Alligator mississippiensis: one gene and its partner. The protein of the gene in region 1 interacts with the protein of each later gene in a pairwise test. Links are inferred from orthologs where the notes say so. Each region holds a gene or a part of one and is shown in the gene's direction. Other genes may lie near its edges. The genes, in order: RAB11B and RAB11FIP2.

What was found.
Region 2: the proteins of RAB11B (region 1) and RAB11FIP2 interact in binary tests that used the Homo sapiens proteins (3 or more experiments, as listed by UniProt). The link is inferred for Alligator mississippiensis from reciprocal best matches to the Homo sapiens genes RAB11B and RAB11FIP2.

What each region holds. Positions count from the first base shown.
Region 1 is NC_081839.1:10,090,744-10,107,413, forward strand, and holds the start of RAB11B (ras-related protein Rab-11B), read left to right. Parts: upstream 1-10,002; 5' UTR 10,003-10,072; coding exon 10,073-10,112; intron 10,113-16,494; coding exon 16,495-16,670. UniProt on the Homo sapiens protein: The small GTPases Rab are key regulators of intracellular membrane trafficking, from the formation of transport vesicles to their fusion with membranes.
Region 2 is NC_081829.1:88,728,380-88,745,042, forward strand, and holds the start of RAB11FIP2 (rab11 family-interacting protein 2), read left to right. Parts: upstream 1-9,768; 5' UTR 9,769-9,997; coding exon 9,998-10,347; intron 10,348-16,663. UniProt on the Homo sapiens protein: A Rab11 effector binding preferentially phosphatidylinositol 3,4,5-trisphosphate (PtdInsP3) and phosphatidic acid (PA) and acting in the regulation of the transport of vesicles from the endosomal recycling compartment (ERC) to the plasma membrane.

The sequences.
Region 1 (16,670 bases):
CACAGACGCACATGACCAGACCGAGGCAGACAAATGCAGAGAACCAGATGTGCGGGCATGGGGAGCTCGGCTCCTGGGCCACTGGATGAAGTCCACTCCGAGGCATGTGTGCACCCGCCAGTATGGAGCTAATGTCGGAGCCCAGAACAGATATTCGTAGCCACCCGGCTACAGCCAGCCCAGGCTCTGGGTAGCTGCTGCCAACCACAGCAGGGCTTGCAGCCGCCCAGCTGCCTTCTGGGACCAGCCCGGGCTTTGTGGCTGGCAGCAGCTTCCTAGAGCCCAGGCCGGCGGTGGCATGCCGAGCAAAATGGCCTCTCGTGCCATGCTCGGCACATGTGCCAGGGGTTGCTGACCCTGCCCTAGACAAAGGAGACTGTAACATTTTACAAAAGACTAGAGACATAACACGATCTTCCAGTGCTCAGGGCAGTGGAGGGTGGGAACTATGATGAGCACTTGCGGGGTGCGTGGAGGAAGGGAGAAGGAGAGCAGTCCTACCTGCCAGAGCTCTCTCCACGTGAGCAGAAACTACTGCTGCTCTGTTATAGCAGCACCAGCTCCATGAGCTGCCACTGAGGGACAGGCAGTGGCTCAGGATCCCTGGGGGCTGCCCATAGTGCTCTGTTTGCTCCTACATTGGGCTGTGCATCTTGTGGGAAAGCTTCTGGAGGGGCATCATTTCACCTTTGCCTCCCTCCCCCAATACACTGCTGGGCATGGGGCTCCTCTTGCCTGGCTCCTATGGCAGGACTGGTCCTGCAATGGCAGACTCCTTGGGGGAGGGAGCCATAGTGAGGCCTAGCCAGTTGATCTGATTCCTGGCTGGCTGGACAGTTTAGAGTTGGCAGAACATTCATTTCTTGGTCCTGATCCAGCTAGTCCTCTCATCGCTGCAAAGGATGATACTCTGATGCACGCACAAAGAAAACGATTCTACAAATGAGCAGCGCTACTGGACCTTTCAAGGCACACATCGATCTCCAAAGAAAAATCAGCTTTTATTAGTCCATTTTTGGAGGAAAGAGGGAGCTGAATCCTGCTGTGAATCAGAATTTCTTTTGAATCTCCAGCTCATACATTTCACCAGAGATCACTGAATTTTGATTTTTAATCATCTCAATGCAAATGAAAGATAAAAGAGCTCCCTCTAGTGATAGTAAGTGATATAACAAAATATACAGCCCCAAAGTCCAGCAAGAGAGGGCAGAGGGGAAAGGTAGCTTGAGCCAGGGACTAGTGAACAGTCAAGAAAAGATGGACTTGGAAAGGTGAGAGTCTCAGGCTCAGAGATGCACAGGCTGGCAAAAAGTATTTGGGAAGCCTGGAGCCAATGTCCATACACAGATCAGAGTTGGTGTTTACTGTAGAAGATACCAGGGAAATTCCCACGGTAGATCAATCCTTTCTAGTAGATGGGTCTGAAGAGTTGGACCACATTGAAGTGACAACAAAGGAAGTTTTAGAACAAATTAATACATTAAATACCAGTAAGTTACTGGAACTGAATGGCATTCACCCAAAAGTTCTGTAGAACTGCTGGCAATAGATGTAACCCAGGGGTGGGCAAAATATGACCTGTGGACCAGATCTAGCCCATAGCATGAGTCTACCCAGCCCTCAGCAGGTCCCTTGGCCCCTGCTCCTGGTCCAGAACAGCTCAGGCTGTGGCGCATGCATGGAGTGTTTAATGTATTTGGCCCCAGGCCACTTAGAAATTGGACAACCCTTAATTGGGTTAAAACCTGGGATATAACAAGTAAATAATAACTAACACGGATTTGTGAAGAGCAAGTCATGCTGGACAGGGTAACAGACCCTTGTGAACAGGGGAGAAACATTTTGATATGGCCTAGATGGATTTTAGTCCAAACACTAACATCCTGTGTGATATCCTCTTAGTACACTAAGGAAATACAGTTTAGAGAAAACTGATGTAAGGTGAGTGTATAATCAGTTGTAAAATTATACTGAAAGGTTGCATCTACATGAGATGTCTGCTGCACAGGTGACTACACACTTGATTGTCAATGGGGCTCTGTCTTTGGGTGGGGAGAAAGGTAGTTATGCCACAACTCTGCTCCGTTTTGAGGGCTGGGGTAACTGTCCAGGGGCCTCTCAATGTAGTTGCCTGCCCTCTAGCAGTCAGTCCTAGCTCCCTTACCCTCCCCTCATCTGAAGTGCCTACATGTCTCTTATGGTATTGAAATTAAGGTAGCAAGCCCTCAGTCCTGTAGGAGAGTTCCTCTCTTTATACATAGCTCTGGGTCACCTTTGCCCAGTCCCCTTTGGTCCCATGGGCTTCCTGGCTCCAATCAGCAGCCATTTGGGGCATATTCTCCCCAGTTTGGCTGTTTGAGTAGACCAGAATACAACAGCTGGAGTCAGGTGTGGATGAGCACCCAGGCTGGTTATTGTCTCTCCCTCTTGATGCTTATAATTCATACCACCTCTCATTCCCAGTGGTCCCAGTGGGTTTGGCTGCCCTGCCTTCAATCAGTCCCAGTGTGCTAGGCCACCCTGCTCCCAATCCAGTCAGGGTGTTTTTTCCCTGGCTCCCATTTCCACCCCAAACTGCTGTGGGTTTCTTTGCCATAGCTCTTCCTTCTGGGCCTACCTAGCAATCCCAGTTCCCAGTGCTGCTTCCACCAGTCGGCACCAGGGAGTTCCTGCCTCCAACTCTGTGTGGGCCAGACTCACCCTCTTTGCTGACGGTGCTGGGCTTATGTCCCCAAACTCACCCCTTCTGGCCTCTCAGCAGCTCACTTTAAAATCACAGCCCCTCAATTTTTTACTCTTACTCTGATTCTCTAGTAGCAGGACAGGGGCCTGTAGGGTCACCTGGCTCTGAAGGATCCTTAGCAGGTGCAGGTAGGGTATCAAAATCCAGCTACCTCAACTGTTCCTCTTCTCAGAAATGGTAAGAACTAAGGTCAGAGGTCAGGAATCAAACCGTCTGGAGCAAGGCCATTCTGAAGCAGGTGAACTGAACAGCATGAAGGTCATTGCTTCAAGTGGGCTTTAGTAAGGGCTCTGCTGCTTTTTTTAGCTAATCAGGAGGCACACAGACATGGCTAGCCCAATGGCCCCCGTCAGCACTTCTGTGCCAACAAGAGGCTCCTAACAGTCACTTTCTATCAGGGTAGCAGTGGGGAACTCTGTGGCAGTGGCCCATGCTGTTATTTTGCTGCTAGTGGTGAATATTGGTGCACAACTATCAAGAGTGGTCAGGGGCAGAAAACACATCAGTTCTTTAATGATCTCTGAAAGCTGACAAGGAGACTCAGAAGGAAAGCAAGGAAACCTTGCCTAGCTCTGAATTGTTGAAAGGTGCCTGACATGACATGGTATGCTTACTGTGCATGTCTGGGTTAGTGAGGCATTTGGCATGGGAACTAATACAAGTGGCCAGGATCAATAGGGATTTCTCTGTCAAAGTGTCATGGTAGCAAACCCTCATCCAACAGCTAGACAATTGGTCCTCAGTAGCTGGACAACATCGTATGTGAGTACTCTTCAGCAGGGTAGAGGATTATCCTTTGAGCATATACTGCTTCCTTGTCATTGTAGTTGCAGGGCACTGGTGTGTCCTCTTCCATCCTGATTTTGTTTGATATGCTGCAAGGTGTTCTTGGTGTTTTTAGTTTTGTGCCTTGTACTTAACACACAGAACAATACTCATTGAGTACCACCATAATGCCTGTATATCTTGGGTCCTCGAAACTTTAGCTGAGAACCTCACAACGCAAGCACTGATGTCACCATTGGACAGATGGGAACGTGAACAACAGTGAACCTAAGACCCAGTCCGTCAAAAGTAATTTGGGGCCCAGATAAAATCAGTGCAATGTTTGCATCTAAAATCTTTTTGAGGATCTGGGCCTAAGCGACTTGCCAACAATAAGACCAGAAGCTCATGACAGAGCAGAACCACACCCAAGTCTTCCACAGATTAGCATCTAAAACACTAAGCCACCTGTCCCAAAGAAATGACAAAAACAAATCCAATCAAAAAAACTCTTCTCCATCAGTTTATTAACCCTCAATTTCCAGTGATATAAAACCCCCTCCTAATTCTTCAACCTATCAGAAAAACCTTCAGTAGAATAAAGATAAATAAGATCTGTTTATTTCTAATATACAAAACAACCTGAAAAAGCTATTTAATAAACAACCAATCAGGGTTTTCTGGTAAATCAGGAGGAAGAGGAGAGGGAAGTCATAGTCTTCACTAAGGGTGCTGATTCAAAACATGTTTACTACCTAGTAAACTGACTTTACTGTAATAAAGTGGGCCAGGCACGTGACACCCAGCCCTATGTAGTAAATCACTCAAATGCAAATGAAGTTATCCCTTAAAATGCATAGGAAGTGCTTCAGAGGAAGTCCAGGAAAAACAGCAACAGAAACAGAGGTCAAGTAAAGCATTCATAAGGGAAAAAAATCTTCCTGGCTCCTAGAGGCAATCAGCATAAGCCCTGCAGCATGAGATCGCCAGACATCTCCAGCACAGAAATTGCATAGAGAAGATAGAGAGAATGGAAACAACAATGAGCAGAGGTATGGAGCAGCTGCCATACCAGGAGTGACTAAAAAAGCTAGGGCCCCTTGTTTTGGAAAGGAGCAGGCTGAGTAGGGTTATGATAAAGGTCTATAAAATCGTGGAGAGTGTCAATAAAGTGACTAGGGAATTATTATTCACAAAGCCCCAGATTATATGGACTAGGGGGCACTGAAATAAACACGAGAAATGTTTAAAACACACAAGAGGAAGTACGTCCTTACACTGCACACGTAACTTGTGGAAGTTGTTGCCACAGAAGGTTGCAGAGGCAGATAGTATAACTAGGGTTAAAAAAGGATTAGACAGATTTATGCAAGACAGGTCCATTAATAGGTATTGCATAAAGCAATCCGGGATCATCTGACATCCCCAAACCCATGATAGATGATGCCAGGGATGATATGACGAGGGAAGGATTATGCTAGATTTGGGTGTGATTCTGCACCTACTCTCTCTGTAAAGCATCTTTTGCTGCCGCTACTGGAAGTATTTACTACATGCAAATGTTGGGCCTAAGCCCACCAGGAAACTATAAGCAGTTAGAGGGGGACCTCTAACCCTGTACAAACTGAATAGTGGGGACAACAGATGAAAGAACAAGAACAGGAGTGCAAGTCAAAAGTTAATAATTAGGGTCCCAAAAGGGAGGGAAAGGGGGGACACTGAGCAGGCTAGTGCCTGCTGCCCCTCGAATGCATCTAAGCAGCCTCTAGACTCTGCTCAATGAAACTCTGCCAGGAGACATGCACAGATGAGAGAAAGGTAGACAGCCTCATAGTTACCCAGGTTCCCCATAGACAGCACCATATTGGAGGTAGAAAGCTGGGCTAGACAGACCATTGGTCTGACCCAGGACCGAACTTTTCACATTCTTACATTCCTCTGAATTTTTCAATACCAGAAAAAAAATATCAGCCACAAATTTCATGAGTGTGTACTTAGATCTTGCACCAAGGTCACTAACAAAAATGTTAAACAGAACAGGCCCCAGAACCGATGCCTGAAGAATGCCATTAGCAACCCCATTCCAGTCTGAAATCTCCATTTTTAACATAATCAACCACAGGCTATCTTTTAGCTACTCCTTTTCTACCTTGTGATTTTATGATTTTTCAGAGAGGCACAATACCAATTGCTTGCTTAAATCTAGATCAGGGGTGTTAAATATCCAGATTCTGGGCCAGAGTTGGCTCACAGAGCAAGCAGTTTCATCTAGCCTACAGGGCTGGGGAAGGAGACTAGAGAATGTTGTGGATCGTCTAGTCCCCATTAGGTGTCATGTCCTGGGGCAGAATTTGAGATCCCCAGTGGATATGTCCCTCTGGCTCCTTGGCCCATCAGAGAAATCATAGAAAATCAGGGTTGGAAAGGCCCTCAGGAGATCATCTAGGCCAACCCCCTGCTCAAAGGACCATCCCCAACTAGATCAATCCAGCCTTCTACATGGGTCTTAAAAACCTCCAAGGATAGAAAGTCCACAACCTCTCTGGGTAACCTGTCCCAGTGTTTTACTATTCTTCCAGTGAGATAATTTTTCCTATTATTTAACCTAAACTTCCCTTGCTACAACTTGAGACCACTGCTCCTTGTTCTGTCATCTGCTACCACTGAGAGCAGTCCAGCTCCATCCTCTTTTGAACCCCCCTCCAGGCATTTGAAGGCTGCTATCAAATCACCCGTCAGTCTTCTCTTCTGCAGACTAAGCAAGTCCAGTTTTTGCAGCCCCTGAACCATTTTTGTTGCCTTCTGCTAGACTCCCTCCAATTTGTCCACATCCTTTCTGTAGTGGGAGCCCAAAACTGAACAGAGTACTCCAGATGTGGCTTTACCAGTGCTGAACAATCACTTCCCTTGACTTGCTGGCAACACACCTACCAATGCAGCCCAGTATGCCATTAGCCTTCTTGGCAACAAGGGCACACTGCTGGCTCATATTCAGCTTATTGTCCACTGCAACTACCAGGTCCTTTTCTGCAGAGCTGCTGCCCAGCCAGTCAGCCCCCCAGCCTGTACTGGTGCATGGGATTGTTCCATCCTAAGTGCAGGACTTTGCACTTGTCCTTGTTGAACCTCATGAGATTTCTTTTGGCCCAATCCAATTTGTCTAGGTCACTCTGAATCCTAGCCCTACCTTCCAGCCTATCTACTACTCTGCTCAGCTTGGTGTCATCTGCAATCGCCACTGCCTTATTGCCTCTGCAGCCCTGTGCTGGATTCATCATCACTCTTTGCCCCATTCTGGATTCATTACTGCTGGCCCTAACACAGGCATCCAGGGCATTTATGAACATATTCCTGGCGTGTGGAAAGGGCACTTTAAATAGAGTGAGTCCAAAAGCTGCTCTAAATTAAAGCATTTGGAGCATCTCATGTATCAGCATCCCTGCACTTCAAAATGGCAGTGGGGTGCTTTAAGTAAAGCTCATCAAACACTGATACACGCGACACTGGAGGCTACTGGAGCATGGTAATTACCACACTCCAGCAGACTCAATCAAGTCTGCTCCAATACACTGTAATTTCAGTGAGTCAGAGCAGACTCATTGCATGCATATAGGTGCCCAGTGTGCCTTGAGCTAGATCTAGCCTACAAGGAGCCCTGTAGTCCAGGGCACAAGGTGAGCTTCAGACCCCTGATTTAGGTAAATTAGGTCCACTGTATTACCCTTCTCTAAGTTATTGTTCTGACATGAACTCCTTTGGACATGGGCAGATCTAGGATTTTGAAAATCCTAGCGCTGCAGATGGTATGTTACATCATCACATACAATACAACCTATTTTTCTCCAGTTAGAGAGAAACTAGAAGCTTTACTAAGATATTGTGTCGTTAGTCCTGTAGTCATTATAGTTAAATGTGCATATTTTATTAAAATTCACAAAACAAAATCTAGTCTTCCTGAGCATCTTGACAGTGCCTCCTATACTTCACTGTTAGTCATTTCTACACCCGAGTTAATATTACCACACCAGATTTAACCTGAGTGTTTAACTAGCGGTACAAGCAATCTGCAGGGCTGTGAAAAATATGAGGCATACTCAGGAATGGCTAATAGACAGCAAAATTGCAGAAGAAAGGATAGGTTGAATAGAGGAACATCAAGTCCATTACAAAGGATAGCGGGTCCTTAACACTTGCAGAGTGGACAAATATCAGCAGGAATCAGAGGACTTAGGAGTCATGAAGTCAATTGACTCTCTCAGCACTCCCTTAATAGAAATGCCGCTGCCCTTGCCAAGCAATTGGTTTTCAAGTATGGGTGAGTCAAGAATTAAAAGGAGATGACTGCACTATTGCACACTCCTGGATCCACCTCTGCTTTTGGATAAAATTATATCGCATCTTGTCTTATTTTCTTTTACCTCCATATCTCTATTTTTTCCTTCAATCTGTTCTAAAATCATGCATAATACTAAAGTCATACTAATGGGCCTGTAATTACCTGGGACCATTTTTTTCACCTTTCTTGAATAAAGTCACTATCGTTGCTATTCTCCAGTAACAGGGTACTACACCTGAACTGACAGATCAGTGCCACAGAAATTGCTTTTTCACGTGCCATTCTTTCAGCATGCTGGGGTGGAGAATATTTGGTTGTACCATATTTCCTCACAAGAAGCAAGCTAAGTCTTGCATTCATATCACGTGTGGTAGTTTTAATTACCAATTCCTCATCCCCATCTTGTACTTTACCACTATCTTCACTTGCTTCCTCATCCATATTGAAGACCGAGTGTTCATTCAGTCCTCAGGACATATCTAGATTGTCCTTTATCTCTATCCTATTGTCAGGGTATAAAAGGTTTCCTTCCTAGTTCTTTTTCATTTATATGACTGACAGACCTTTTGCTATTTTTTGATTTTCTTTGCAAGTTTGAACTCATGTAGGCCTTTGGGCATTATCACTTCCTTTCTGCACTTTCTGACCTGGGAAAGACCTCTCTCCTTACTGATCAATCTTGTTTATCCATTCCTTGTATATCTTAATGCCTGGATAATGTGCTAGTTTGTCCAGTTTGGCCTGTAACATTTTCCTATCCACATTTTCCAGATAGTACTTGTGGTTTTGATTCGCATGGCTCATCTGCATTTAAATCCCCTGAACTCTGAATCCAACTGGTCCCTTGAACTCATTTCCTTGGTTGCTCAAAGTTTGCTCTTCTGAAATCCAAACCCCAGTTGCAGACCTATTTTGGTTATCTTGCAGTTTACACAGAACAGCTCATAATTACTGGAAAATCATCTTGAATCAAGAAGTGACCCTCTGTAAGGTGGTTATTATTTAATAAAAATCAACTCTAAAATAGTATTGACTCTTGTTCGTTGCATGACCATTCAACAAGAAAAGTATTGGCCGTCTTACCCCAAATACCGTGCCCGACCACTACCAGTAACATTTGTTATCCTGTCTATATCAGCCTAGTTCCAGTGTCCCCGAATTACCCAGTATTACTAACTACTCCCGCAAGGTCAGAGACACCTCTCTCCATATTCCAGTCTGACCCAGGTAGTATAATAAAACTGAACACATTCCCTACGGTAACCTGGTTATTACTGTCTCTGTGTAAGCAAGTTGCATAGGGACTGGATATGGTCAATCCCTGGACGGAAAATAGGAGTGGGATGGGAAACAGGGCTGTGCAAAATTTTGCTGGCAGCTTCATTTCAACGCGGTTTTGACTCGTTTGGCACGGCCCTAATAGGAAACTAGGTTGAGAAACGAAAAGAGAGAAGAGAGAGCGATAACAGGCGGCTGGAAGGAGTTTGAACCCCCGCTCCTTCGCCGCCGTGTGCGGAGGATGGTGGCGCGCTCCCATCCGAGCCGCAGAAACGAGAGCCCGGGCGTGACGCGTGCTCTGCTCCCCTTTGGACCCCAGACCCGAGCACCAGGGCGGAGGCAGCAGGCTCGTCCTGCGAGCTCAGCCCCCCTCGACACAACCCGGACATCTCGACTGACTGAAGGCAGCGTGGCGATGCCCGAGCTGGGAAGTGAGCCCCGCCACGCGCCTCCTTTCTTTAAAGAAACCCCCTGCACCCGCGGCCCCAGCCAGCAACAAGAGCCTGGCCCCGCTCCCGGCCGGCGCCGCAGCCTGGCGCGGAGCAGGCCCCAGGCGCAGCCAGAGCTGGGGTGCGGGGACAAGCAGGGCTGAGCCGGGCCTAGGCCCTCGGGGCGAGTGAGGCGGCCTCAGGCCTACGCCGGGCTCCTGGGCCCGCTACTCGGAGCGGGGCGGGGCGGGGCGGCCCCCGCTGACATCCCCGCCGCAGCCTGCCCCGCGCGGCCAGGCCCCGCCCCTACCCCCGCTCGCGGCTCATAGGTTGCTCCGCTTGTCAGTCAGCCTCTCCCGGTCTCCCATTGGGCAGTGGCGGCGGGCACCGCCCCGGGCCCGCCCCGCCGGGGGCCTTGGCGACTGCTGATAGGCTGCGGCAGCAGCGCCCCCCCCCCACCCCACGCAGCGCTCGGCCCGCGTCGGTGCCTGGCAGCCGAGGAGCGGGGCCGCCGCCATCGCCATGGGCACCCGGGACGACGAGTACGACTACCTCTTCAAAGGTAGCGCGGCCCGGCCGGCGGGGCGGGGAGGAAGGGGCCTGGCAGCGAGCCCGCCCCACCGCCACCCCCGGGCCCCGCGCCGCCGCCGCCCTGACGTGGGCCGGGCCCTGCCCCGGGGGGCGGCACTGACCTTGTCCGCGGCGGCTCCGGCCTGGGCAGGGGCAGGGCTCGCGGGCCTGGCCGTGAGATGCGCGCGTCGCTGTCCGCGCTGCCCCCGACGTGCGGCCGGGAGCAGCGAGCGGGCAGCCCCCGGCGCAGCCCTGCTTCCCGCACCTGGGCCTGCCCGAGTGTCCCCAGCTCCCGCCTCCTCCTGCCTCCCCGGGGCTTTTTCCCAACAACTTCGGAGGAAAACCGCCTGCGAGTTGCTGCGGAAGAAGCTCCTCTCCGAGGGCTGGGAGGAGAGAGAAGAGGAGCGCGGCACTCGCTGCCAGGGTCGCCCTCGTCCCAGCAAAGGGACGCGGTTTTAAGGAAACAAATGCACGTTTCAGTAGTGAGTGAATTCAAAAGCCGCATTTCGGCACTTGTCCCGATGGTGCAGAAAGTGACCTTGGGCTAAGTGTGGGACTTTCTGCCAAAGTGGTTAAACCAAAGACAGTCGCTAAAAATGAGGTTTAGCATAGAAAAAAACCCTTGCCGACCTTACCTTGGGCTTCCAGGAGTTATTTCCGTGCCCCCGTCCACGTACACTTGCAGCGTTCCCACCGTCGGACAGTGATAAACTGGAATTGCCTTTTTAATGATAGATATTTTTAATGTGGAGTTAATTTATTTTCTGATGCCTGTAGTCATTTATAGTGTTGGCTTTATTCTTTTTTAGAGACTGACGGTCATCCTGTCTGAGGTCCAGAAAGCATTTGAGGTGGATGCTCTGAAGTTCTAAAGAATCTTTTTTTTTATCACGCTTTTTCCTTAAAATAACCCGCTTGGCAAACTCCCCAGCACTAGCTGTACAGTGGTAGGAGCCCTAGTCTTTGGCTTTGCGCGCTCCATGTTGTTTAGCACGGCGAACAGGAGCTTCCTGTGAGACGGAAATGCTGATGGTCAGCAGTGCCGTGTCCTCAGTAGCATTCACTGTTCTAGCAAAATAAGGCGAGTGGTGACAGCATCTCCATGTGCCGTTCGCTGCAGTTACTCAAGAGAACGGCTGCGGTTAGGATTATGCGTGTGAATTTGGCTGTCGGTAATAGGAATGAGCAGTTGTTTTTCCAAAATGAATACTTCACTGTGTCTCCTACTTCGATATTCACTTCAGATATACTGTCCTGCATGGCCTACTCATTTTATAATGTATTTATTATTTAGGTTTGTTTTCTGCCCCACTTGGGTTCAGGACGGCCTACAATCAATGATAAACAACCCATGGGTGAGAAACAATAGATGTCCTAAAATTTGAAACCTCCACCCCTGCTGCTGCTGCTTTCATGTTTAGTATCCATGGACATTTTTACACATGCTGATTAAAGCAGCCCCATCTTCCCCCCCCATCCTAATTAGAAGTGCCCAAGCATCACACGTCAGCATCCTCCACGCTGAAAAATGGCGGCAGGGCACTTTGAGCTAAAAGCACTCCACCACCATTTTTCAGCATGGAGACACATGCACATGATGCTAGTCTGCTGAAGCGTGGTAATTTCTGCTCTCCAGCAGACTCGATTAATCCAGGATTTCCAGCACATCGGAGCCAGCTCCTTGCATACGTATAGGAGCCCAATGAGAGCAAACTCTCCAGTCCTAAGAGTAGCTGATTATTGAAAAAATGTTTTTTCTTCCCCACCTCCCTTAAATTACATGTAGCTGATTTCAGTGTGAAGCTGCCAGGTTGTGGTACTAAATCCTGTCTAGATCAACTATCCACTATTAACCTTCCGACTAATTTAGTGTCCTGAAACTTAAAAGTCTGATATTTTTTATAATGCTTTTCCTTTCAGGAATGATTAAACAAGTTACTTTTATATAAAAATTGCATGCATGCGTGCATGTGTGTATATGTATGTATGCACATACTAGCTCTTTCTAAAGAACCATGACACTATAAAATCTTATGGTAGTGTTAGTGATGTTATACCTGCGATCGTCCAGGAATTAAGCAAGAGGCAACTATACAGTTAGTCCAATAAAAGATATTACTTTAAGAAATCCTTGTCTCACTGTAAAAAGTAACGTTTTAAAATCTAAATTGAGATCTGATATTAAACTCCTTGGGCAGGGATCATTATTTCTTTATTTGTACTACTAAGTATTTGCCATAGTTGGCATAAATGAAAGGTGTGGGGGGAGAAACCTTGTCTTATCTAGATGAATTGGAGACTTAGAAGTGGGGGGCTGTCTCCCATATGCCAGGTTAGTGCTTAAATAATAACATGGGAAAGTTTGCTTTATATCTCCTCGTCGTGGAGTTAAAACTTTCTCCTTTCCAGCAGCAGGACTTTGGGGATCTCACGAATCATGTAGCTGGTTGTAATTATATGAGAACAACTGGGGATTCTGCATGGTCTGTTTCTGGCAGTAATATGGTGATGGACAAAACCATCTTCCTTCTTTTCTTCCTGCCAGCACTAAATAGCAAGGGGTGCACTGAAAAAATGGTCAAGTGATATTTTTTTTTGTTTGGCTTCTGACTCCTTTTGCAGCTTTATGAGTTCTCTATCTCTGTTCTAGCAGCTACATAGTCTAAAAAAGATGGCGTTGGGAGAGTAGCATGTCAAGAAGGGATTGTTTGCATGTTGCTACATGTAAAGTAGACTTTTTGTGTAGTGAGCGGTATCTGCTAAAGAAATATGTATACGAAGAATCAAATAGATGAGGAAGTTCTATGTGGTCTGTTGCTACACAGCAGTTTTTAGGTTCCTTACGTGGAAGACAAGACTCGAGTCAGTGGTCATCTTATATATATGGCAGTGGTTGTCTTTGGTAGGAATGTAGAAGAGATAGCGACATAAAGGTCGTCTTATACTCTACAAAACGGACTTTATTAGCTAATTTTAAGTTTATATCATGCTTGGGGGAAGGGCTGCCAAATTGTCAGCCCAAAGGCCATGTGCAGCATGTGAGAGGTTAATCTGTTGCCTTCAGGCTTCCATTTGGTTGCCCTTCTCCCCATCACCCTGGCCACAACAGCCAAGGGCATGGCATTTCCTTCCGGATTCTCAGGGGGAAGCATAGCGTAGTAGGTGCAGCCTGTGGCTGGTGAACTGGCCAGGTGGTGTGGGGTGCTGCATACTTGGAGGGGTGTACCACCTACCTAGGTGCATAGTGTAGCGCAAAGAGCTGCTTGAGCACACGGTGCCGTAGGGAGAGGTGCAGGGGGGCTGTGGCCCCCAGCCACAGAAGTGGGACAGCCCTGCATTAAGATTATAAGTGAGGTTGTCTAGCGCCCCCCCCCCCCCTTTTTTTTTAAATTATTTTTTAAGTTCATGTCCTTGCTACCAGCTTCCCTGTCTGAGCATCTTCACAGTCAGATCTCTTTGGGTTTTTTATTTACCAAAACAATGTTATCCACAGTCAGCACTGCCTAGCACAGCCAGCTGTAGGACACAGCTGTCCAACTGGGCTCCTGCCCAGCTGTTGCTTTCCCCATTGCTCCAGCTGCCACAGGGTCTTCTGGCTTGTGCTGCCTGGCCGTGCCCCAGGGTTGCAGCAGTGCAGCACAGTGCACGGGAGCCCTGGAAGCTGAGCTGGAAGTGGCAGGTGCACAGTGTAACAGTGGGAGTGGGTGCATGTATGTGGTGTGGGGAAGGGAGGCAACTGGCCTGGCCATTTATGGCGTAGCAGGTGGCACTGCGCTGCAGCCCACAGGTGTATGATCCATGGAACATTTGGCCCCTGGCTGTTTAGAAGTTGGACAGCCCTGCAATAGAAGAACAAGCTGGAGTCTGCATCAGGAGGAAGGGAATAATTAAAACTGCAAGTAAGGGTCATTCTTGAAACTTGTTAATATGCAAAGCTGAAAAAATTGACTCTGGCTTCTAATGAATTGGGGGTGTTGGGGACTGTGGACAGTTTAAAAAAAATAGCCTTTTGCTTTGAGTTATAAATGGCGCAAAAAATATTTTGAGGTCGGTCTTTTTAGAGCTGATTATATTGTCTTTAATATTTTATAATAGCCCCTAAAAGTCCCTGAGGTAACATACTGTAGTCATCAAGCTGCAAACTTCAAATTTATTTTTTCCTTACAAGAAAAGTGTTTGTTAGCAGAAAAAATGTTTACAAAATATTCAAATTGTATAAGCCAAGAAGTGCTGACTGTCAAGAAACTATTGGTTGTTTGGTATGCTTTTTGCTTCCAGCTTTTATTAAATTGCATAGACCAATCTAATTGGAATTTAAGTTTCTGTAATAAAGGTAGGCTTATTAATAATAAAAAACACTTTATATCATCCATCACAAATTTGGCAGCCTTGTGTTCATTTTTTGTTAAAGTTGGGTATATTTCTAAAAGTTCGCACTGGAAACTTGCTCTAGTAATTGTTTATTGTGTTCAAATTAGTGCAACTGGGAAAAAAAGCATTGAAATATTAATTGCAAAACTATAAGGAAAAAATGGATTTTCTTATCCAGATACTTGGATTCTTTTTTCTTTTTTCAAGTATCATGTATCGCCTTTCCAGCCCTGCTATTGGAATGTGCGTTCATATGGCCAGGCTATTTGTTGGTAGGCCTTTTGGATTTTGACTAGCCAGGTTTCAGTGTTTTGTACTGGAGCAGTCTGATGCAGTATCTGAAACTTATCTTTTTGTCAGTTTGGTGTCAGTAACTGCATCTCCCACTGCCAGAGAAAAGCTGGTTTCCATTATCTCTTGAATGAGGACCTCCCAAGAGTAACCTATGAAGTCACATGGTAAAAGTAGTCCACTTCTAGACTGGACTATTGCATTTCTTTCTGCTTTAGCTTGAACCAAGTGCCCAATGAGTAATTTGGTTTATCCAGCATACAGCTGCCTTTCTTTTGCGTGGAATGAGCCGAAGTGAGTATATAACATAATTATTTTCTGCTTTGACTTGCCTTCTGGTCTCAGACTTCGGAGTCGTTTATTGTCTGAGCATAGATTAACTTCAGGAACAGGCTTATTATTCTGTCTCCAAAACAACTGTGTTAATTTGCTAATATGGTCTCTGTGGGATCCCAAGATATGAAACAGGCCATGAAGGGAGTTGGTGCATGTGCTCCTCAGACCAGTTTTTGATCCCCATGTAAAACTTATGATTTAATACCAAAACACAGGAATGTGAGAAATAAATAGGTTACCCAACAAACATCCATCCTGTGGACTGGGAGTACATTCTTACAAACTGAGTGCTTCATGCCCTGGATTTCTCTAAAACCAGTGCTGCCCCCCACCTGCAGCTCATCCATGCTTGCCTTCAGGAAATGTCTGTAAAAACAGGTCTTATAATAAGGTAGGAAGATCAACAGATCTGTGCTGAAGTGAACAGGAAGTGCATTCCAGAGTTAAAAACCATTCACTGAGAGTGCTTGTTGTTCCCTTTGGTTTGATCCAGGATGCTGCTAGCATGATTACCTTGGATAATCTCCGTTATTGTAAAGTTGCATGTGTACTAGAAGTCTTTGTGCCAATACATTTTTTTTTTTTCATGCTGTAATTTTCTTTAGCAAAACTGATAAAACTTGTGGACTGTGGTAAATATATCTTCAGTGCTACTTATGTCATTTCTCTGTTTGTTTGGCACATTGTTCTGTAGAGTCAGGGGTTTCTCCCAGTCTTTCACAATTAACAGTAAAGCCTACTAGAAACTGTCTTTTCCGATTAACTTCTAAAGAGGAAAGCGGGTCTATTTCGGATCCTGTTCATAAAGGCAAACGTTTGATTGTATGGACTCCTTTTTGTATTACTGACCTTTATGTGAATTTCCTTTGTCCCTACGGATCAGGAATGTTATTAGAATGAAACATGTATTGCGTGATGCGCTAATGAGATTGCAAATAATCATTTACTTTAAGGACTCTTGTAACAAAAGAAAAACTGATTTGTACAGATCAGTGTTGCTCAGCCTTCTGGTCCTGGGGATTGGATGAGTAGTGTGGGGCTGGATCTGTTTGTGGAGAGACTCATGTGTGCTGGACCTAGCTATGGGACAAACGCTTGCACTGTAGTAATGTGGCACACCAGGCTGTCATCCAGCCTGCAGGGCTGTCAACGGGTGTTGGAATTTGGCAATGGGGGCGCAGTACCAATGTTAACGGCTCTGGCTCAGAAGCCACCACTGATACAGACGGTGGGCATTTCCTTGGTTTAAGGGGTTTTTTTGATGCTTCACGTGATAAACTTCTTCTCCTGCTATGAGAGATTGCGTAGGTAACTCCCTCAATAAATCTTAATGTAAGAATTTGGAAACAGTGGGTTTTTTGTTTGTTTGTTTTCAGTTGTGTTGATTGGAGACTCTGGGGTTGGGAAGAGTAATCTCCTATCACGTTTCACACGCAATGAGTTCAACCTGGAGAGTAAGAGCACCATTGGGGTGGAATTTGCCACCAGGAGCATCCAGGTGGATGGGAAGACGATAAAAGCACAGATCTGGGACACTGCAGGGCAGGAACGA
Region 2 (16,663 bases), on another chromosome or scaffold:
CTATCTTAAAGGGAGGTAGGTTTGACACTGAATGACTATGAAAAGAACTCCAGAAGCAGCTGAGCCATGGGCAGAGTTCGAGGTTCAGACTTGAGGTGTATGTACATTAGTTTCAAATTGCTTTTACAGGTAAAAAAAGATAAAACCTCAAAAGGGTGACCTTTTATTTCTTGACAGTGAATGCATAGCTTTTGTACAAAAGTGGGCTAGGATTCCAGCAAGTTAACTACCAATTTAACACACAAGAGGAGGATGGAAATAGAGGAGTTTAAAATATTTGGGAAAACTAAGTCATGTATCTTAACTCATATCAAATCCTGCATTATATTGCAGCTTCATTTTCCAGAGCCTACTCTGCTGGAGCATGGAAACAGATGAACTCCGGCAGCCTTCTGCATCACATGTATCAGTGTCACTGCATGTCTCCGTGCTGAAAAATTGGCGGCAGTGCACTTCGAAATAAAATACATTGGATGTGCTTTCGTTCAAAGCACCCCATCACCATTTTTTCAGTGCAAGGATGCATGGTGATGCTGATACATGGGATGCATGGACACTTTTAATAAGCGCGGCTTGCCAATTAAAGCACTTGGTGCCGCATCCTGCAGCATGTGTAAAAATGCCCTAAGTGTTTAATTTTCATAAAGCACTTCAAGAACCTTGAGAGACAGGGCTTGTAGGAGATCAAAGTATTATTGCTTGAAACTTTTTGTAACATGAAAATATATTACGTGGGATTCTTTCTAAAAAAGGAGACCGATTTTAAAATTATTCCACCAGAGGAAAACAATGGTATTTTCAATATTTGCTGAGATTGTCCTTAATGGAGTTTAGGATAATTTGTGAGGTAATGGTCTATGAGATCCTTGGAGGCTTATTAACAGACAATATATTGTAAAAGAATGAGAGAATTAAAACTGAGAAAAATGACTCCAGAGAAACCTCACGTTCAGGCAATGATAACAATCTCCAGTTTTCCATAGAGAGCATGAGCCATATTTTTTCAGTGTTTTTATTTCTATCATTAAAAGTTTTGGGGGGTTTGCCAAAGTATGTCAGCTGCAAAAATGGATAACATTCTTGGTTATCCTTCTGGAATCACTGCAGCTCCCACTCTCACCCAATAAATGTGTTTGTGACCTTTAGAGGTTAGAAATCTACTTACATAAAATAAAAGGTAAGGTACTATGTGTCCAAGATGAAAAGGAATGACATTTAGCCAAATCCATCCCCTATGTAACTTTTCAGGCTAGGCTGAATCATGGCCGAGTGCTTTCTCAGTCTGTATCCCTAAAGGCCACTGTAACTCCCAGAAAAGTGAATAGAAGTCTTCAACTGGAAGATCTGAAAGCAGCTGAATCAAGTTCATAGTGATTACTGCACTTGATAGCTGCCATAAAAACTGAGTGCCTTTGAACCTGACCAATAGCATAAATAGGGGTGGATGAGTGAGGCAGTTCTGGGTGCCAGTTTAGAGGGAGCACCAGAGCAGCAGTCCCAAAGGAGCCTGGACAGTGGCAGCAGTCAGGGCACATGGACAGCACCTGGTGGCAACAACAGCCAAGGTCTTTTGAGTCCCCAGGGCAGGTAAAATCTCCCGTGTACTACAGGTAGCGCTCTGTGCTCCCTGCTCTCCAGCATCTTTGCCCAGCGTGCAAAACTTGTTAGTTATGCCTCTGCAACAGACAGTAAGCTTGCAAAGCCATGGAAGCAATGACCTTTCACTTTTATTGGAAGTGAATTCTCTGTTGGGAGTATCCAGTATTTACTCACAATCTGGTATAGCATGCAGTTCTGTTCCAGTGCAGCAATGAGACTCAGGATTTCTTGAGGAAAGACGCATGATTTTTCCCCTAAACCTGTACAAATTATATATATATCATGCATATAGTTATAAAATATATATATTTATAATATATATATAATTATATATAAATATAGATGGATGGATGGATAGATAGATAAATAGATCGATAGATAGATGTTTAATTTCAATGGATGGTTCATCTGTTTCAAACTCCTCTTCAGAAACTCACGTACTTCCTTTATCATTATTTGTCATGTTTATTGTGATGGCATGTACGAGTCAACCAAGAATATACTGGGCACAGTATAATCACCCCATAGTTAGATGGTCCCTGCCCCACAAAGCTTACAGTCTCAGTAGACAAGGTAGGCTCATTGTGAGGAGAAGGGCATAACACACAATCCAGGTGAACGATGAGATGACAGTAAATCTCACATGTTAGTTCCACAACTTTTTTATAGTTAGGGTGGGTTTGTTTAGGAGTGGATATAAGCTAAATGGAAAGAGAGGGGGAAAGATAGGAGGATAGGGCCGGGAGCAGCAGATGTGGAGCTGGAGAGAGGGGGATATTTGAAGCAAAGAGCCAAGCAGTGCAAAGAGAGAAAATCCAGGCAGAACTGTAGGAAGTCCTCTGCGTGCCCAGAGGTCCCTGATTTGGTGCTTATATTTCTACCAGCTGCAGGCTTGGGCTGGTTCCTCTCTGCAGTTCTCTCTCAAAGGCCACATGGCATGGTGCAGGAAGAGGCCCAGAGTACATTCAGTCTTGTTATCACAACATTGCTCCCAAGTGGATTGTGTTTTGCAGACTAGTGCCATATCTGTCTTTTGAGCTCTGAGCCCAACAAAAATACTGGAGAGTTAAAAGCTTGGGTCTATGTCATCAGAGTTAATGGATGTAGATGAAAAAGATTAATAGTTGTTTATCACAAAATAACGGGCAGCTATGTAGTGTTTAATATAGAATTAATCCTCATGTGTGCTATCCCTCTCTCTTACTCATTCTTCTGTTTGCTTGGCCCAAGAAATCAATATGAAAAAAAAGGGGGGGGGGGAGGGGGAGATTCCAAGAATTACAGTAGATTTCTGTCATTTCCATTAATTTGAAATACCCTCTCAACTCTCAACAAGTCAGCCAACAATGCATCTGATTAAACATAAGGCTTGACATTTTGGCTGCCTTTGCAATGATCTCTTTTTCTGCCGTATGCGCCTCTGATACAATTCCATTCTCTGATTTCATTTTCCATTTCATGCAGAACTGTTACTTGCTGAAGACGATCACCATGGTTGCCTGTACTGGTAGATGTAAGTGAATAAAATATAGCAAATAATTTATCCGATGAGCTAATTTTTCCATTTCTTGTGTTTGTAAATTGAGAACTTCGTGCTATTTTGGAAATGTATTCATTATTTGGAATTATTTGCCACATAATTCCGATGAATAATTCTTGTCTGGCAGAGCGCTCGTAACCTGTTTGTTTTCAACATTTTATAGTTGGCAAGCATTGGTTGACCAAACATGTATGTCATTCAGTATGTTTCTGCTTCCTGATTGGATAGTCATAAATCTTGGTAACGGTTGCAAAAACTCACATTGGAAATTCTGTTTCTGTAATGAATACTCAAATTTGAGGCTGATAATTGCCTTCTGTAAATATTAGTGTGACACTCATTGTTAGTGAGCTATTCAGTCAACTGTTTTCAGATGAGAATGTTACAACTCTGACTAACCAACCCTATCCCTGCCCTCCATCACCCATGGCACTATTGTAGCCCTGGTGCACACTTACCAGGTTGCTGCACTGGACTTAGACCTTGGGTCCAACATGCTCATGCCTTTCTGGGGGTAGGATGAGTTAGAAACATAAGACTGGAAGGGACTTCCTGAGTCATCAGACCCAATCTGTTGTTGCAATCATGGTGTCATATAATAAGGTTGAACATGAGATCCTTTTCTTAAGCTCATCTAGTTCCATTTTAAGAAGATTTAAGTCTTTGACCCATTTCTCTGAATTGGAAGGCTATTCTAGAACCTAATTGCACAAATTATTCTAATTTCTTATTCTAATTTTTCTAATGTTTAGCCTTAATTCATTTACAATCAATTTACACACTTTTAGTTAATGTGCTTATATTGTCCTGTTAGATTAAAATTGTCCTAATAGGTTAAAATGTTCTTTCCTGGTGTTCACTGCATAATGCGTTTAGAGCAGGGGTATTATACTCATCTGGCCCTGTAGGCAGAATGAGTGGCAGGGGCCTGGTCTGTGGGCTGGATTGGACCCATGAATTCCCTCTTCTCCTAGAATACCTGCTCCAGCAGCCACTCTGGCTGGATTGGAACCTGCCCCACATGGGGCGCAGATCCTGCAGTGGCTGGAATGGGCACCACGTGTAGCACAGTCCAGCTGAAGTGGGCACCACACTGGACACAGTGGCCACCCCAGCTGAACAGCACTATGTGTGGCTCCTGCCCTGGCAGGTCCAGGACTGCACTGCACATGGTCCCTGCTCCAACCAGTGTAGGATCCTTGCATGTAGTGTTTGTGAGCACCACATGCAGCACATGTCCTAGAGTAGGTGCCACATGTAGCATGGTCCAGCCAGGGTAACCAACCATGGCTACTGCTTTGGTTGGACTGTGCCACACTTGGTGTCCATTCCAGCCACTCCAAATCAGGTAGGATGGAGGAAGGGGAGGAGGTCCACGAGCCCAATCTAGGCTGCAGACCGGCCCCTCACCACAGGTGTACACCATGCCCTGTGTGGGTCTGATCAGACCCAGGAACAGCACTGGGGACTGGATGGTGGAGTTTGAAAGGTTGGATATGGTCTGTGAGCCGTATGTTTGAACTCCTGATTTAGAGGGAGCAATCCTATTTTCGCTTTCTTTTTGCTAGGATAAGAAAACCATGCTTTTTAAATTGCCTCTCATATGACAGACTCTTCATTTCTCTGATCAGAGGAGTCCTTCTCAGTACCTGTTTCAGCTTGAGTTCATCTTTTTTTAAAAAGGGTGACCAGAATTCAGAGGCAATGTCTCTGGTTCTGTCCTCTAAGGCTCACATCCAGAGTGCAGTCTCTGTCTATAGTACCCTCTTAGAAGTCTGAACCTACAGGCCAGTCGACCTAGGCCTCAGCACCAGTCCTGAATCATGACTCTTCCACAGCATAATTATACCTTCCCTTCATTGACACTCCTGCTTACACTTTGAACCTTACGAAACAGTTACAACAGTTGCAACAGGAATTGCAGACTTTGGAAAGTTAACATAAATGCATGCATACACACTGGAAATCTTTTGAGTTTTAGAGAAAATCCATGCAAAAAAATAAACTGTACATAAAATCCCTCTCTACTGGCCTCACCATTCCAAGATCGCTTTGGATTTTGGTTATGTAAGAACAGATTTTAACATTTGAGACTTTCAGTCCAGTCAGTCATGTGAGTTTCTAGCTAGCATCAAAGACCCCATTAGGTGATCTGTTCCTTGATTACTACTCACTAGAAGTCCAAACTGGAAAAACTGGTTTCTTGTAGTTTAGCCATTCTCATTAACATTCCCATTGTATTGCTAGGGCAAAGTTATTCCATATTAATGACCTTGCCTCATTCTGCATTGTTTGCCCTGTGTCAACAACACAGGTCTCAAGGAGGGGGCAGGGGAGGCTATAGGGAATGCCCTTGTATTGCCTCGCAACCAAAGTGGTGCACACACAACAAAATGTTCACATACATACATATATGCATGAAATCATCACAGACAGCAACAAGAGAAACTGTGACATGTAGATTTTGATCACATCCTGTTGGTAATTTAGAAAACAGGAGTGGGAATCACACTTAGATTAATGATCCAACCTAGTGCAAGGAGGCACACTTGCTGGAGATGGCATTCTGAGGGGAGAGGTCTTATAATAACCTATATTGTACAGTAAGACCCCTATTCCAAAGAGGACACAATCAAAGGGCACAATTGTAACCTGACCATAAACAGGTGTAAGAAGGAATAAGATGTGTGTGCAGATTCACCAGTTTCTTTGGGTGTAGACATGGAAGAAGTAGGGGTTGTATAGCCAATAACTTCCCAACCACATCATATAAGTCGGAAACTGGAAAACAAAAATGTGGAACAGGTATAACCTCAGGTGAGGTGCTGGAGGTGTTGGGAAGCAAGACTAATATTCTGCTACAGGTTTGAGAAGGTAGAGATGTGCCAGTCTAATGCACAATAATTTCCATGGGCTCTTTCTATGTTGCTTCTTATTCACGGGACATAACAGTTTACATTAGATACATCAGTATAGTGAGAAGTGATAGCATACCATGGGGGATTGAGGATGGGAAAACTACAAAAGAGCAGGGAAAAACAAAGGTTTTAACTATATGTTAAAAATGTTCGTGGCACTTTCCCCAAGAGATAGCAAGCAATTCCTGATGTCTACCTTAAATGTCAAATGAGTAAATATAGTCGATCTAAAAATCCCCTGTAGTTATGGTTGGAGAAGGTGTTCTTCATGCTTGTTTCAGAAGTAATGCAATGTAGAATGTGTCCTTTAAACAGAATTTGTATATGGTAAAATTAATTTTAAGGAATAAGCCAACTATATGTTCCTTGCTAAAGATATAATCAAGGTTTCCAGTGAACTGCCTCACTAAGCCAAGCCTTCTGCAAAACACCATTGTCAAGTCCCTATAATGCTTCCAAAAATTATCTATCATTCCCACTTTTTATAAAGATCCTGGCTAACTCTCCCTTCCTCAGTCATGGCCATTCATCCTTCCATGATGCTATGCTCTCACTATTCCCCCCTCCCAAGCCCCAGATATTCACACACATCTGGGGCAAGAAAATTGAGGAAGCTGGAAGGGATATGAAAGAGGCAAGGGATATGCATGTGTGCTTATTTGAGAAATGGGGTGTAGGTTGTAGCCGTGTCGGTCTAAGGACATATTTGAGAACTGGTTGCCCATCCTGCACGATGAATGTACAACCTTAACTCTGACCATAACCATAGTATGTCCGTGCAAGCACACATGCAAACTTACAATGATAGTTTATGCATAAAATGCTGAATGTGTAACAATCTTTTAATACAGATCATTCATTCAGGTAAGTTTTCTCAACCTTACTAGGAAAACAATTTGCAGTCTGACACCATTTCAAAGCACATACCAACACAAAGCTACATCCATTGTAACTGATGAAAGTCACACTGCCGCTATATTAATCAGCAAAATACATGAACAAATCACCAGCCCACAGTCAAAGCTTGAGGGCTCCTGGAACTTTTTTGAGATAACTGTGACAATGCAGAAGCTGTGGGCGTAAGAAATGAAGCTAAGGTTACAAAGAGGAACTGATGACTAAAATGTGGACAAAGCATCAAATGACTTAGCTGCTGATTCCCTTGCTTGTTGTGGTTTCTTTGGTGGAATGTGCAGTACTGCAACATTAAATGTGTCATTTTTTTTATAGAATAACAGTTAATACTGTGCATTAGTCTACACCCTCTCCCAAGCTTCCAGAGATCCTTTAAAACACGTTATGTTTTAAATTATTTTTTTATTTAAAATGAAAGTTATCAAGCCAGGATGACATGCAAAAAAAAAAAAAAAAATTAAAAAAACCCTTAAGAAATGGCGTTTCTCTAAACTAACATTGCAAAACCCTTAATCACAAGATGGAAATGATTTGGAAAACTTCCTTTAAAGCAGCAGAAAGGAGTGACAAGTTTGGGGTGGCTCAGACCCTCAGATTAGCTGCATGAGCCTGTGGACAGCCAGGACCCATTCCTAAACAGACACTCAGACCCCACCGTCGAAGACTGTTTTAAAATGGGACTGACTAAGTGAAACATACTGGTACTACAGGAAGACAGAAGAGGATGATGGGAAAGAAATGGCAGACCTCAACTGGTGGAAAGGGGTCTGGCATAGACTTTTACAGGAGTAGACCCTCTTAGCAGGGTAGTGGGTGGTGGGGGTATGGGTATGCAGATGGGTACATGGGTGTGCGGTTGCACGGTGTGAACTGTGTAACAGGTTTTTAGTGTGCTTTGAGCTGCCAAGTCAACCACAAGGGCCACCTGGGAGAGCGTTGGAGGTGGAGTTATATATGTATCTATCTCTATCTAGATATCTATCTCTATTTCTATATATAGAGATAGATCTATATTTAGATCTATCTATATATTTGCAAAAAAACAAAGAGCAGACAAAAAAAAACTAGCTGCCTGAGCCTTGATATGGCCTTTTAATACAGAAGTGCAGTGACTGGGTGGGGGGGAAAGTTTCACAACAGGAGCTGCTGAAGGATGCGAACGGGGGCAAACTGGGGGAACATGTTCAGTGTCTTGTTTAACCCGTGCTGCTGGATTTTTGGTTGTAGCCATGTTGGTCCAAAGCAGCTGTTCCCAAACTCTGACAGATGGCATGCTGCAAATTTAAAACAACACAACCTTATGTACCACCAGCAAATTTTTCAGTTCAACCTTAAGTACCAGCTGCAAATATTTATCATATAAAGTAATTCTAATAAATCTGTTACCTGACCAGTGGCCTGCGTACGACTGGTTTAGGGTGGTCATCAGAGAACAGTCCGGTTGCCCTCTGTCCTCTATTGATACAAAACCAGATACCTTGATGTGTATCAATAGTGGACGGATCCTCTATTGATACGAAACCAGGCACCTTTATGTGCATCGGTAGCAGATGGATCCTCTATTGATACAAAACTAGAAGTCTTTGTGTGCATCGATAGTGGACGTTTCCTCTATTGATATGAAACTGGACGCATTTATGTGTATCAATAGAGGATATATCCTCTATTGATACGAAACCAGACGCCTTTACATGTATCGATAGCAGATGTATCCTCTATTGATATGAAACCGGGCGCCTTTACATGTATCGATAGCAGACGTATCCTCTATTGATAGGAAACCAGATGCCTTTACATGTATTGATAGCAGACGTATCCTCTATTGATAGGAAACCAGACGCTTTTAAGTTTATCGATAGCAGACGTATCCTCTATTGATAGGAAACCAAACGCTTTTACGTTTATCGATAGCAGACGTATCCTCTATTGATAGGAAACCAGACGCTTTTACGTTTATCGATAGCAGACGTATCCTCTATTGATAGGAAACCAAACGCTTTTACGTTTATCGATAGCAGACGTATCCTCTATTGATAGGAAACCAGACACCTTTACATGTATCGATAACAGGCATATCCTCTATTGATAGGAAACCAGACACCTTTACATGTATCGATAACAGGCATATCCTCTATTGATAGGAAACCAGACGCTTTTACGTGTATCGATAGCAGACATATCTTCTATCGATACAAAACTGGATGCCTTCATGTGTATCGATAGCGGACGTATCCTCCATTGATACGAACCCGGACGCCTTTATTTCCTCTATTGTTCTCTTCAAGAAAAAGAGCCATCTCTATTCTTCTCTTCATCAAACATCAAGGCATCCAGTTTCGTATCAAGAGGCCAGAATAGCAGAAAACCACGATGGCCACCCTCCCGGTGGTACCCGTGCCGCACACCGGGACACGGCCGCCGCGTGCCCCCGGCACTCGGTGACCACCGCAGACGGCGCCTTTCCGCAGGGGGTGCACGCGCAGACCCCAACACGTTGCCCATGTCCTCTACGACGCCCCCTACAGACGGGGCAGCGCGGCTGTTCAAGTTCTCGACCCTCATAAAAGATGACCCAAGAGCCCGGCTGCCACCTTGTTCCCCCCCAAGGGGTGAAGATCCCACACTGTGGGGGGAATTTTCCCCTTGCCTTGGCTGTCACCTCCCCCTCCCAGGCGGTCTCCGCAGCCCGCGAGCGCGGGGCGCCCCCTGCCACGTGCGTCCGCGCTCGCCCCGCCCCCTGCCCGCAGCCCCGCCCCCTGCCCTCTGCCCCCTGCCCCCTGCCCCTGCCCGGCGCGGCGGCCTGAGGGACTGGGAAGGCGGAAGTGGCGGCGCGGTGCGGCGCGGTGAAGCGCCGGCCCCGGCGGGCGGGCGGGCGGAGGCCTCTGCACATCATCCCCGCGGCTGCTGATTTGGGAGAACCCCCCCTCAGGGTATGAGCAGCGGCTCCTCGTCTGCTCCGGGGCCCCGGGTTTAAAGCCCCCCGCGCCGGTTTGTATTTGCCCCCCGCCCCGCGCCGGCCGAGAGGATGCTGTCCGAGCAAGCCCAGCGGTGGTTCCCCACCCACGTGCAGGTCACGGTGCTGCAAGCCAAAGCCCTGAAGCCCAAAGGCAAGAACGGCACCAACGACACGTACACCATCATCCAGCTGGGCAAGGAGAAGTACTCCACCTCGGTGGCCGAGAAGACGCTGGATCCGGTGTGGAAAGAAGAGGCCTCGTTTGAGCTGCCGGGATTACTGGTGCAAGGCAGCCCCGAGAAGTACATCCTCTGCCTGGTGGTCATGCACAGGTCGCTGGTGGGGCTGGACAAGTTTTTGGGGCAGGTGGCTATCAATTTGAACGCAATCTTTGAGGACAAGCAACGGAGGAAAACGGAGTAAGTGCCCTTTTCGTCTTGTTGGGCTGGCTCGCGTTGATCCGGCTCCGTGCCCCAAATTAAACCGAGCAGGTGCATAACGCGCTGTCCTGCCGGCGGGACCCGGGTGCGGGCGTAGCTGCCCCGAAGTCAGCGGGGCTTTCGGACATCTCCGTCCTTTAAAAAAAAAATGTTATTTTTAATATACGCTGTGAATGTTATGTTTTTAATTTTTCTCTTGCTTCTGAATAGTGCCGCTGTTATCAAGGTGGGCGGCAAAGTTTGAACCGGGGTCGCAACTCGGATTCGTTCAAACTCCGTCATGCGTGTCGCATCGCTTTGCCTAATATAATATCCGTATTGGATTCGTTCAAACTTTGTCGTGTGTCGCATCACTTTGCCTAATATAGTCTCTGTTTTGGATTCGTTCAAACTGCATCATGTGGGTCACATCAATTTGAATAAATCTAGTACAGGCGTTATATTCGGCAAGCTCCATCACGTGTGTCGCATCACTTTGCCTAATACAGTGTCTGTTTTGGATTCGTTCAAACTTTGTCGTGTGTAGCATTACTTGGCGTAATATAGTGTCCGTATTGGGTTAGTTCAAACTCCATCATGTGTGTAGCATCACTTTGAATAAATCTAGTACAGGCATTATATTAGGCAAGCTCCATCATGCATGTCACATCACTTTGCCTAATATAGTGTCTGTATTGGATTCGTTCAAACTTTGTCGTGTGTAGCATCACTTTGCCTAATATAATGTCCGTATTGGATTCGTTCAAACTCTGTCATGTGTGTCACATCACTTTGCCTAATATAGTCTCCGTTTTGGATTCGTTCAAACTCCGTCATGTGTGTCACATCACTTTGAATAAATCTAGTACGGGCATTATATTAGGCAAGCTCCATCATGCGTGTTGCATCACTTTGCCTAATGTAGTGTCCGTATTGGATTCGTTCAAACTTTGTCGTGTGTAGCATCACTTTGCCTAATATAATGTCCGTATTGGATTCGTTCAAACTCCATCATGTGTGTCGCATCACTTTGAATAAATCTAGTACGGGCATTATATTAGGCAAGCTCCATCATGCGTGTCACATCACTGCCTAATATAGTGTCTGTATTGGATTCGTTCAAACTCCATCATGTGTGTAGCATCACTTTGCCTAATATAACGTCTGTATTGGGTTTGTTCAAACTCTGTCACGTGTTTAAACTCCATCATGTTCAAACTCATATAGTGTCCATATTAACATCTGTTGCAAACAGCGTGATTCTAGTTTGTCCAAGCTTATTCATTTGGTCGTCTTTGAACTCTGGTTCAAGCTTGCCGTGGTAGCCTCGTACTTTTCTGATGCTCAGTAGATCTTGGGCCTTAATCTTGCTTGCTACTTTATGCTGCAGGCCCATGCAGAGTAACTGGTAGAGAAGTTTCTGCTCTAGCAGGAACTTCCATGAGTTTTGTTAAATCAAATTGTGATTTTTTTTTTTCCCTTAACAAATTCTGAATGCCAAATGGAAATAATGGCTCTTTTAGGTTTATAAATAGCATTTTGTGCAGTAAGGGTGCTTAATCAAGCACAGCAATGTAAAGACTGATCAACACTCAGATCTTTGTTTTGTAATACTAATTTAAATTGTGCTGTTAGGGCTCTGTGTCTTTTTTTTCCCCTTTTTTACTAATTAACTGTTATGGCCCCTAATGTGGCCACAGTTACATTGGCATAAAGGTACCAGCATAGGTTATTCCTGTGCATTTATGTTAAAAACTTGTATACGTATGCAGAGCTTTATAGCAGAGTAGCTGTCTACATTAGAGACGTATTGTTTTAACTGTACTGGCCCCAAACACAATATAGTTAAAGCTCTAAGTCACTAGTTTCTACATTTTTAGACGAGAGGAATGCCTTGTTCGACTCAAGGCACCCCTCCATAACTTCAGAATTGAGCAGCATCCCATTTCAAAACCTGGTTAGATGGGGACGAACCTGAGCCTGCACTTACCTTCTCACACCTGCTTTTCTCCTTGCGGCATCCTTCAAAAGATCTTGCTGCACCCCAAGGTGCCCTGGCACCCTGGTTGAAAATTACTGCTTTAAGTTAAAAATATGGTTTTGAAACTCTGGGCCTGCTTGCATGCTTTCTACTCCAATGAATCAATGGTAGGAGTGTGTTAGGGTGGCATGGGTACTAAGGTGCACGGTTAACAGCCCAGAGGTCTCAAGTTTGAGGCTGCCCGTAGCATGGTCTGTCTGATGCCAATGAATCTGAGTTATGCTAAATACCTTGTCACAAAGGCACAGGAAAGGAAATTTGCAAAAGCAAGGTGTAACTTTATAGATTGAATGTACTCTTTTTTTTTTTTTAACATAAACTATAACAAAAATTGTTCCTTGTCTCACTGTCTTGACTTCACAAACTGAGGTAATTAACAGGGTTTTTATGATAACTGAATTAAACTTTAGGTCTTTTTCACTGTTTCTTTTTTGTGTATTTGTGGCTGTCACAAGTTTCCATATCCCCTATATCTTAGAGCTCTTACTGTCAAAGTCTGATGGAGAGACCCTTGTACTGCATTTCATAGCACGTGAGTGGCCTACTGCAGTCCTGCAGAGCCTCACTGAAGTCAGAGCAGTTCCACAAGAGTACCAGAGTCCACTGCTATTTACCCATTTTAAGACTGGGTCTATGGGATAAATTATTGCCCCATTTTCCAAGTCACTTAGGTACCTAGGAGGCTCAGCTCTTTAAAAATCACTGAGACTTTGGCTTTTAGGTGCCCAAGGGCCAGATAGACTCCTGGGTGTATTTTTCAGTAGCCCCTAGGCATCTAACTCCCATTTGAAATCCGTGGGAAAAGGTATTTAGGTGTTTTTGAAAATCCCACTGTATACCTCTCTGCATCTTCAGGTGTTTCAACTGCATTGAAACATCTGGCAATAAACCATTTTTTGGAATAGGACTTATGCTTCTTATGAACATATGTGCTTTTGAAAATTTTACTCTGAATGTGTGCATACATGTTAATGCTGTTTCCTGTTACTCCTGATTTGGAGATCTATGCATGTTTCAAAGAGGACAGATCTGTGCATGTGTGTGTGAGAGGTATGTAGATGTGTGTGTGTATAATATGAATTTAGCCTTTCAAATAAAATGAGTGTTGTTTACATTCTTTTCTTTCTTGACTTTCCTTTTATTAAATGCCTATCTTCATATAATATTCTGTTAACTTTGTAATTGCCACTTGACGTGGGTATGGTATTTTCAGACATGAACTTCAATTCCAGTTATGCCAGTGGGAACCAAAGCTGCCTAGTGTCTCAATATCAGGTCCATTGTTCTTAGCTGCGTAGAAACCTCATACCTAAACGCTATTTTCTTTGTTTCAGAAACACTAATCTGTTTTATTAAACAATGTTTCTGCTTTCAAATATGTTCAACAGGCTTGTGGTATTATTACATCCAGAGTGATTTTTCTTGTGTTGATGTAACCTTAACATTTCTTGCTTTGTTTGGGGATAAATGAGATCCAGTTATTTGATGAAGTGTCTATTGGTAATATTTCTACTTTTTAATATATTTAATAGCTTCCTCTTTCCAACACAGCTGTACATATGGTGCTGCAACAGACAGACTCAAGAGTCACTAGAGTATTACAAAAAAGATATTTAATATTCTGCACAATGCTGAACCTTGTCAGCAATTCCCCAGTGCTTTTTAGAAAATAGGTATGAGAAGTGAAGGCTACCAGCTGATTTTGAATTCCTAGGAAAACGGCAGGGTATGTGACATGCAGGTCCTATTTTATTAGACAGAAGTATGTTTACAGATTCTCTTCAGCTTCAAAAACACATTATGATAGGAAAAATGGGCTTTTTTCATTAAGGTTTTTTTTATGTGCTGCCTGTGACACCTTAGGAAAAACATGCAAGTTTTTCAAAATACTCCAAGCAATAAAGTTTTCAAGCAGAGGCATAGCGATAGGGCTTGTGCATCATTCTGGCTCTAGACTTAAGAAAATAAAGCAACATAATTTGATGGAAAAAATCTTACATAATATCACACAGTGTATTTTCTCTTTCTTTCCGCAACTGATGATTTTTCAAACTCATGAAAGTGTTAGTTATAGGAGTGGCTGGATCCAAATATGACTCAGTCACTTTCCAACTTTATTTCAGACACCTCAGCCAATGCACCTGCAGTACTGTTATTTTAGCACTTCCTTGGTAAGAGAGTGCCAGTCGTGTAGTGGCAGCGTGATGATTTGTGTATTGGTCCTTTGGGACCTCTAATATGATCATCAACTCCTTTTACGTGTTCATTTTGAATCCACATCTCCACAGGTGAAAACCTAGAATATTGATCCACTGCATTGTCCAGGCTTCATATGCAAAGTTGTTGTTTTTATATTTTAATATTCTCACAGTATTGAAAAATGCTCAGATTTATTTAGAAGACATCTTTGGAATAGGACTTCTCATTAAGATTTCTGCTATCCATATTAAAGGAGCTATTTTAGCAACTGGTAATTTTGTTTCTTTTTTCCATTCCTATATACAATAAAATTTTAAAGCCAGGTGTAAGTTCTTATCAATGCTTCTGTTTATCTATAGGTCACTTCTGCCCAAAAGCTTTTGGCACCCAACAAAGCATGACATAAATGCTGATAATTTGATGTTGCCATATTTTTGTACAGTAGTAACTTTTAAAAATGTTTGCATTTAGTTCTTATTCTTGTGTGCCGAATTGATAGAGCTGTCTAAGAATAAATTTTGACTCAGTTTTGCTTTTGATGTTACTTGTTCCGTTAGCAACTTCTTCTTTCTTGTCACCATCTACCTCCATGCCGTTTATTACCAATTCCTTTACTGCTTTTCCTGGAGAATTAATTTATTACACAGAGTTATACTTCAAAATGCAACATTTATCTGAATTGTTATAACTTGGGCTTCTCTGTTTCTCACTGCAGTTTTGAGGATGATTGATGCTTTATTTCCTTTTTGTGACCTAACCAGCAACAAATCTTTGCTTGACACTTGAAAAAAATTATTTAGATTCATAGTTTTAAAAAAGTATGTATCCCAAGCCTGTGCCATTGATATAAAATAGTCAGATGAGAGAGTCACTGGTAGATTTTGCTTATTTGAAACCAATAGAGTATTTAAAGATGAAATCAAACCCAGTCAATATATCCTGTTGTGCAAAAGGTTGTCATTTTATTGGGCTCGCGTGTCCTTAGTAGCCTTTGTAAAAGTTCTTGTGGTGGGGCCTAATTCTTTTATCGATAGAAGAAGGCTGTTTCAAACCAGTGGTTCTCCCAAGGTTAATAACTGCTTTTGGTGAACGTCCCTTTGAACAGACACCTTACTTTTATCCTGGGGGGAGTTAGGCTATGGGGTCTTGACTGTAGTTGTGTCTGGATGACATGGGAAAGAGGCAATTTCTGAAAGAGGTATCTTCCAAAAGCAACCTTAAATTCAACCCTGAAACTAATTACCAGTGCATATCACTGTGAATGGTTGCCCTGAGCTTTCTGTTCAGCTTCTCAGAATTTTTTTGTGGTTGGTGCCTTTTCTGTTTTTAAAAAGTGAAAAAAATAAAACACAACAATTTTTACCAAGTTTAACCCCTTTGACATTACATAACACTTTGGCTGCAAGAGGTAACAATCATAATATTGTGATGGGGTGAAGAGTGGGGAGGTGGGGGCCGGACTGTCTTAGAAGCAATAACTTTGATCATCCAGTAGTATCCCCAGAATGAAAACTTGAACAATGAATGGGAACATATTCTCTTTTTAGGCGAAGCAAAGGTAATTCCTGCCACATCTGTAGAGACTCAATCCTCACATTTATAACCAGAGTTATCTGGATTGGATTCTATCCAGTCTTCAATTTCAGTGACATGTTAGGGGCTGGTGTGCATAGAAATTCAACCTGAAATGATTATGTTGGTCTCTGTTTGCACTTTTAGTTATTTTAGTTCTACAGCAAGTCTACTTGTGCAGTCTTGAACCAAAATAAGTAGTAGTGTAAATTAAGGGCAAATCAGGTTTTTAGATTCTGGCTGGTGTTAAATCCAGAGTCAAACATTCTGGTTTGTCTCTATTAATATGGCTTTTGTAATGGTGCGATACTGCTGTTGTATAATTTATTTTTAAATTCTACATAGTAGTATTCCACACATTGAATTTGCGTCCAGAAATAATGGCATTCATTTCTCAAAATTTCATCATAAATCTAATTTTAATAATCCATTTTCCCTTCTATTTAATATACTTAGTGATGTACAACACTCTCCTTTTTTGTCCTCGGTGTATACTTATAAAAG